2 linked regions of the Astyanax mexicanus genome follow. The protein of the gene in region 1 purifies or fractionates together with the protein of each later gene. This does not show direct contact. Links are inferred from orthologs where the notes say so. Each region holds a gene or a part of one and is shown on either strand. Other genes may lie near its edges. The genes, in order: vps4a and zfyve19.

The links.
Region 2: the proteins of vps4a (region 1) and zfyve19 purify together in Homo sapiens (affinity purification with mass spectrometry; 3 studies listed by BioGRID and IntAct, counting the BioPlex papers as one, with this or other methods). This does not show direct contact. The link is inferred for Astyanax mexicanus from reciprocal best matches to the Homo sapiens genes VPS4A and ZFYVE19.

Annotation. Positions count from the first base shown.
Region 1 is NC_064417.1:11,206,996-11,210,920, reverse strand, and holds the start of vps4a (vacuolar protein sorting-associated protein 4A), read right to left. Parts: upstream 2,649-3,925; 5' UTR 2,452-2,648; coding exon 2,431-2,451; intron 2,178-2,430; exon of another isoform or gene 2,072-2,177; coding exon of another isoform or gene 2,054-2,071; intron 786-2,053; coding exon 714-785; intron 1-713. UniProt on the Homo sapiens protein: Involved in late steps of the endosomal multivesicular bodies (MVB) pathway. Recognizes membrane-associated ESCRT-III assemblies and catalyzes their disassembly, possibly in combination with membrane fission.
Region 2 is NC_064421.1:47,599,682-47,603,606, reverse strand, and holds the start of zfyve19 (abscission/NoCut checkpoint regulator), read left to right. Parts: upstream 1-1,346; 5' UTR 1,347-1,601; coding exon 1,602-1,655; intron 1,656-1,754; coding exon 1,755-1,876; intron 1,877-2,020; coding exon 2,021-2,074; intron 2,075-2,493; coding exon 2,494-2,660; intron 2,661-2,757; coding exon 2,758-2,900; intron 2,901-3,630; coding exon 3,631-3,733; intron 3,734-3,925. UniProt on the Homo sapiens protein: Key regulator of abscission step in cytokinesis: part of the cytokinesis checkpoint, a process required to delay abscission to prevent both premature resolution of intercellular chromosome bridges and accumulation of DNA damage.

The sequences.
Region 1 (3,925 bases):
AAGACAGAAGGTAATTGTTATTCAGAACTAGGTTAGTTGTGATGTGGAGTAGTACTTAAACAAATAACAGAGCAATATTAGAGAATTTTAGCAGCACAATCGAGTTTACTCAGATTCATTAACAGGACAAAGGAGTAGTGCAGAACTCCTGAAGTTTTTCAAACAAGCTCCATAATTTGCTGTTCAATGCTGCTTTATAATCTAGAAAAGGAACTGTGCTCTCCTGTTGGTAAAAAAAAGTAGTAATTCTAGCTACACCATAACTTTAATGAAATTCCACCACTACAAAAAAAAGCATAAACATTGCATTTTCGAAAACACAGCACATTAAGGCCACATTCACGTTGGCTATAACAATTCAGTTTGTACACTTTCATTACGGATTAAATCACAGTTCTCCTAAACTAATTTAATAACAAATTTAGGATTGCAAAACTAGTAGTTCTAAAAAGACACTGAAAGTGTCTTAAAGCTATCAAGCTAACAACTTGGATCTGAGAGCATCCACAATTAGCTGTATCGGGTAGGTGGATGGATTATTTCATTCCCTATCTTAAAATGTGTTGTTTAAACAAGTATTCAATTTCCAGATCCATTAGTTATCTAGTTAATTGAGTTATCTGTTATAGATTCTACCTAGTTAACTATGTTAGTTTGTTAGCTAACTTGAATTTATAGAATTTTCCCATTACAGTACCAGTGTGTAAACCTACCTCCACCATATGTGGATGCTGAACTGTAACCTGAGAGTTATTTATCTGCTTTACAATGATGCTCTGCTGCACCTGCAAGAGGAGATTCATCTGATCTACCCAACATCATAAATTTGGTTCTCAACAACATACAAACATCTGCAATTTTTTTTATGAAATCAAGAGCGACTTTCTAATCCACATGGGGATGACCACTTTAGTTTGAAGGGCATGGTTAAAATAAGAGCCTGGGGTCGGCTGGTCTGGAGCCAGCTCCTGATCTACCAGGATAGCTTGGAAGATGTTACTAAAAACCAAGCACTCACTGGGTTATCTGTTTCACCCTGTTTATACAGAAGCAGGAACATCTGGTAAGTGCAGCAGAGCTTGTAGGTGCTACTAGGGGAAAAAACATGGCTTCTAAATGAGCCATAGGTCATTTAATATTTTAAATGTGTTTATCTACAGGTTTGTGCAGACATTTCTGAGTTGAAGCTGAACCTGTTCTCTGCTCACAGCTTGGGCTCCAGACGGGGAAGCGATGCTTGTATGTGCTCCATCTCGGCAGTTACACAGAGTTGGTACATGAGAAGGGACAGAGTAGCCCTTTCTATGCAAGGGTTAATTAGCGTCTCGTAAAGATGGCCCAGACCCAAGGATGATGGGCAGGAGGCCAAGCATAAAAGGCAGGCCTCCATAACTGAATATCACTGTCGTGAATCTCCGGTGATCAGGCCATGAGCCCAGAGTAACAATTCACCCCAAAGAACAAACTCAGGGTTCTCTAAATTAGCAGCAGCAGCAGTGAAGTTACAGACCAAAATCCAACAAAGAATTCAGCATAGAATCCAGTGGAAAAAAAAACTAACATAGAATCAAAACATAACACTATCCAGCTCTGTGAGGGCAGCAACTTTGATGCACGTGAAGAGCTAAGTATGGTCTCTCTCTACACAAGAGGAAAAGAAGGGCAAGTGACAGTAGAGACTCAGGCTGTAGGAAGAGTGGGGCAAAACAAATTTAAAAAGGACCTAATGTGCAACATGGGGCTTCTGCCGGCATGCAAAAAGCTAAGATGGCCCATGTATAATAAAATAGTGTTCATCCTTGAATACATTTTTTTTTACCATCACTGACCATAACTTCAACAACCGTAACTATTTTTTTTTTACCATTAAACACTGTTTATTCTATTATAGGAAACCTATAGGGAACACCTGCCTGGGCACTTCACGGGAAAACCTTATACAGCACTGCATCCAATCACATTTGATTGATTGTACAATATCAAATTATTCTTGATGTAGAGGCACATCATCCTACCTAACCCCTTGAATGCGCCAGTAATTAAAATGTCTAACCAGGTGCTTCTTCATCATGGTTCAACACCCACACACCAACGCTGTAAATGACTTGGTTCCGGGCATGAAAAGTGTTTAAACCAGCATCTTCCCCCAGTCCACCTTATAAACAGCCTGGCTGCTCCGTTCAGGTGCTGTACAGTCTTTACCAGGTAACGGTTAGATTTAAGGTGGACCAGAGAGATATACATCCACCATCTCGCAGCTCAAACAGCGCTTGCTGAGCTGCTAACGTTACTGGAGCTGCAGGAGAAGCGCTGAGGTCAGGCTCGCGGTGAATCCGCGCTGACAGAACCAGAGCTGATATAAAAACTCAGTTAATTCAGTAAAAACAGAACCTGAGGAGGAAGCACTAGTATTAGCATTAGCCTGTGTACCTGCAGTGTTGACGTTGTCATTTCATCTCAGTTCGGCGCCGTTTCGCTCCAGCTTCGAGTTAGGTCAGCTATAAGGTCTGAATGTGGGTGTGATATGAAGCGCGAGCTTATATTAAACTGAGTTTTATTATAAAAATATAATTTAATAATCGGAGAACCAAACAGAACAGCCAGCAGCGCCCACCATAGAGCCCATCAACTGCGCAGAGAGCGCGGGTTACAGGAGCGGTGCTGCCGCCCTGCGGACAGGATGTGGTAGTACAGGTTAGCATATTGTTATTTAATGTTTTATTGGTTTTAAAGTAATTACAATGTACAGGAAAATAGCACATTAATCAATCTCAACAAACAACAAACAAACTAACAAACAAACAAACGAAAAGATTTGCTAATAGCACACAAAAAAAGAATAAGCACCAGTGTTATAAGCACTAAAAAGATTCTATAAAATAAAGCGATCAATACAGAAGTATAAGAAATGTTGCATAGCTATTCATAAAAACTAAAAACGCACCGCAGCACATAATACAGTATTTCAATTAAGTGTGCACCCCCTGACATTTTTGTAAATGTTTATTAAACATTTTCACTTTGATACAATGTAAAGTAGTCAGAGTGCAGCTTCTATAACAGTGTAAATTTGCTGTTCACTCAAAATAATTCGAAACAGCCATTAATGTCTAAATCACTGCAAACAAAACTAAGCACACCCAAATTAGAAACATTCCCTCCCCGGTGTCATGTAAGGTAAATTGTTACGAGGTATAAATGTGTAAATTGGGAGCAGGTGTGTTAAATTTGGTGTTATCACTCTCACACTTTTATACTTGTCACTGGAAGTTCAACATAGCACCTCATAGCAAAGAACTCTCTAAAAACGCTGAAGCTTCTTAATCTTCTTATTCGCCAATGTCTTGTTCAGATTTCCGTTCCACCTTAAATGCTGGCTGAACATACATGCGGCCGCCTGTAGATGGCGCATTTTAACAGTAAAAAACAGCATGCAAGCAAAGCGCTGTGCAATATCTCACGAGGCTGAAGTTGGTTTGATATTCGCAGCTCCAGATTCGTTTGGCTCGATATTCGCAGCCTCGTATTCCCCGGCTGAAGTTGGTTTGATATTCGCAGCTGCCGCTTCACTGAAGCACCGTGAACTAAAGGGAGCGTTCACAAACACCCGCTGTTTATATTAAACACCTCACAGATCAACACTGAAGGAGATAGAATGAAGAAAAGCAGTACAGCTGTTTATTAACAATGTAAATATACAATATATTATTAAATATAATTTTGTATATTGTAAAATATTTATTTTAATTACTGAATTTATAATTATATATTACAATAAATAATTAAATATATATTTAATAAAATTATATTTTAAAAGCCATTGCGCTCAAAAAATATGAGGCAGATGTTCAAGTGTGATTTTGAAGAACTTTTTCATGTTGGGCCAGAACAAATACACATGATCTAAAGAGTACTAGTCTTCTAC
Region 2 (3,925 bases), on another chromosome or scaffold:
CTACCTGTTGGAGTACTCAAAATAAACCATGCATTCGCGAAGCTAACCTAAATTACACTGAACTGTGATGTCTAAGCTTTATTAAAGTCATATTGACAGTAATTACATTCAGGCACCCACAGCCGGTTAGCATTAACCAGCTAACCTGCAACTGCAACGGTCATCTAACTAACAGTCACTACAGAAAACTACAGTCTTCCCGCAGACAGAAACATTATATTATATATCATCATACTTACGTGCTTCTCCCTTTATATTGCTTGCGTCTCTGGTTTACGGTACAATACGTTATATAAAAATTATATTAAAAATCCAGTCTTTTTTTGTTCACTGCTGTTCTCAGAGAGAGTCCGTTTATCTTCAGGCTGAAAATATTTGAACGAAAACTGGGAGGAGCCTAGCCTCGCGCTCATTGGCCTATCCTGCTCACGTGACCGAAACCCAGCGCCTCATTGGTGGACTTTTATTTAACCCTTTCAGACCCGAATTAAGAATAGTAAGAATGCTGTTTTCTGTTTGTATAGCACAGAAATATTCTTTAATATTCTACTATAAAATCTAACGTTATATAGCAAACAAATTGAACTAACTAAAATATTTAATAGTTTTTATTTTATTACTTCTATTGCATTGGAACCCTGTCTGTAATATTTTATTTTTATATTGATATGTTATTTCAATATCCATGCCTAAATAGTAAAAACATGATTAAAAAGGTGTTCTAAATCACATTAAATTAAATAAAAAAAATCTGTTACTGATTTGTTGTTTGTATAAGACCTGTTTTTGTTTAGCTTGTAAAACGTTTTTTTTAAATTATTTTTTTATTATTATGTATTTATCCTGGATGTCCTTGTTTTCATTAGGATGTTTTTGGAAATTAATAAAAAAAACAGCCTGTGTGGATATTTAAAGATAAAAATAATAATATTGCAATTAAAACGATTAAAATAAATGCAAAAAAATAATAGATGTTTTTTTTTTCAGTTTTATTTTTAACGTACATATGAAATAATTTTCATATTGTCGTGTATTTTTACAAATGGTCGATCGCTTTAAATTATTTTTATTCATTTATATATTTAAAAACGTCTAATCGACACCAGAGTGTCTTTACGTTGTTTTTACAGGCATGCTGGGTAATGTAGTTTAACATCGAATAAAAGCATTTTTTCTTTACTGTAATACATTGCTGACAAACACAAATGCAACTAAAATAACAGTACACGCGTTAATGTCCTATGTCCAAATGTTTAAATAAAAAAAAAACGATATTAGAAAGTTTTATTAGCCTTTATTGTTCTGAGGTGGACTACATTTACCGTGAGGCTTTGCATCACGCTTCCTGTGTTTTCCTTCCTTAAACATGTAGCTACAGTAGGACCTAGGCTGAAATGTCTGCATTTTCAGGCCTCGCTAGTGGTTTAAATGTTAATTTGGTGATAATTAATATAAATAAATGTGAATATTAGTGAATAATAGTTACATTTATGTAGCTCGTTACGGCTTATGTTCTCTGAACTGTTTGTTTATAAATGTGGACAGTCTTTTCAGTGTAACTTAACGTTTAATCAGATATAGTAGCTTATTAATTATCAGCTATGAATAACCGCTGTTATGGCTGTGCGTCAAAGTTCACTCTCTTCAAGAAAGAGGTATGTATTTGTGTATCTGCGCAGGTTAAATATATATTAAATATATGGGCGTGTTTTATATATGTTTATGTATCTAAATGAATAGTGCTTGTGTTGCAGATGGGCTGTAAAAACTGCAGCCGCTCGTTCTGTTCAGGCTGTCTGGAGTTCAGTGCTCTGGTGCCCCGGTTCGGTAACACTCAGCAGAAGGTGTGCAGGCAGTGCCACGGGAACCTCACCAGGTAAAAACTCTTATTTTAGTGTTTATTAAGTTGATTTAGGTGTATGCTTGCTGATATATAACTAGCTATGGCTTGGGGGGGAACTGTGACACATGATGTCTCACGTGATAATAAAATGTCCTTTTGTTGTTTGTTTTTTTACAGTAATGGAAAACAGAATGATGCTGCAAGATGGTCTCCACCTGAAAACTATAAAAAGTAAGATTTTGAAAAAAAAATATGAATGAGTTCAGTATAACTAAAATTCACAAAAAGCCACTTTTGCCGCTTTTGTCTGTGTCGTTTAAATAGCACAGGCGCATGTGGATATGTATGAATAATTGTGAGCAAGAACAGAAATCCTATCGTCCCCCCGCCATCAGCAGCCGGAGCACTGAGAGAGCACAACTGCTCTTGCTCTCTCTGGGTGGGTACAGTACAGTAGATGGTGCTCTCTCTTTCTCCTCATCACTCCTAGGGTGATGTGGATCAGCACAAGGCTGCGTCTGTGAGCTGATGTATCAGAACCGAGTCGCTGCGCTGCTTTCCTCCGAGCGTTAGCGCTGTGATGCTACTCTGTAATGTTCAAAATAAGGGCGGAGTCTGACTTCACATGTATGTTGTTTTTATTATTACAGACGAGTTGCTGCTCTTGAAGCCAAACAAAGTCAACCTCCGAATCAACCCCAAAGACAGAACAGTGGGAAGAACTGCATATCCGCTCCTATTTCAACAAAAGGTTTGAGTAAGGAGGACCGAGTTATCGCAGAAAGACTTCAGAAGCTGAAGGAGGAAACAAAGCCAAGTAAGACTGTGATAATACTGTGTTTTAGTCAACTGAGATGTTCTTCACCAGATAAGATAAGCAAAAATGGAAATTTTGTTTTGCATGTCATATGCAGAGTCCATACCGTCTGAGCGGGAGATTGAGTCTCGCCTCGCTGCTTTAAAAGCTCCAGACCAGCCGGTGCCTTCAGCTCAGGACATGGAAGATCGATTAGCTGCCTTACAAGGAAAGCCCCCTCCCTCCCAAGCACCACCTCCAGTACGTGCAAGGATTACAGTTCATGCTCATATTACTGTATTTTTCACAAAATTAAAATCCTTTAATTTTCCAAAAAATCGTCAGTATTTTATCGCCTTATGTATGTAAAGTAAAGCCACTCCACTGAAGTACAGCGTTAAAAAAGTTTCAGGAAAGTTTCTCCAGCACTAAGGCTGGAGCAGTGTTAGCATTAGCTGCTAACCGCAACGCTAGCTCTTTCGCAATTTAGAGGTGAGTAAATCGGACTGTAGTCGTACTGATAATTTCTGTAAAAATGAAAGTATTTTCACTGCGCCTTTAGTTTAGTTGCGTGAATTTAGTTTACCTGATTTCCGTGTTTTTTGAATTGTGGAAAGAAAACCATGCAGATAGGGACTTGACCCTAGACCCTAGTGCTGGGATGTGTAATGCATAAACCCTCTAATTTATGTATCTAAAACAAAAAATGTATATATATTAACTAATTAAAATGTAATAATGTGGTGGTAAACATATTCTGATCTATCAGATTTTTTATATCACTAATCCCTAGCGAAATGCATGTATGTGTGGACACGTGCAATGCATGACACTGTCCCTCTAAGAATGGGTGATATTCACAGATCTCTTATGGAAAATATGACTTAGGCTCAGAGAACCAGACATATATGATTTATTAATGTTCATATGGATGTTTTTCATGTGATGTGAGACATGTATGCACTCAGAATGGTGTTTCTGCTTTGCGCAGGTTCATCGGCCACCTGATACCAGGACTCAGACTGAACAGGCCAGTGACTTACTCACGCAGATGACTGAGGAAGTTGCCATTGACAACCAGCATTCTCCAGAGGGTATTTATTACACTGCCTTATTTAGAGCCGCGGTGTCAAACTCCAGTCTTGTTTTTACCCGCCCCACTGATTTCATAACAACAGTAACTGTAAAACTCTCTGTAAATTCAACTGGGTGTGTTAAAACAGACAAACAGCTTTATGCGATTTGAGTTTTAGACTCGTACAGTACCAGTCAAAAGAGTGGACACA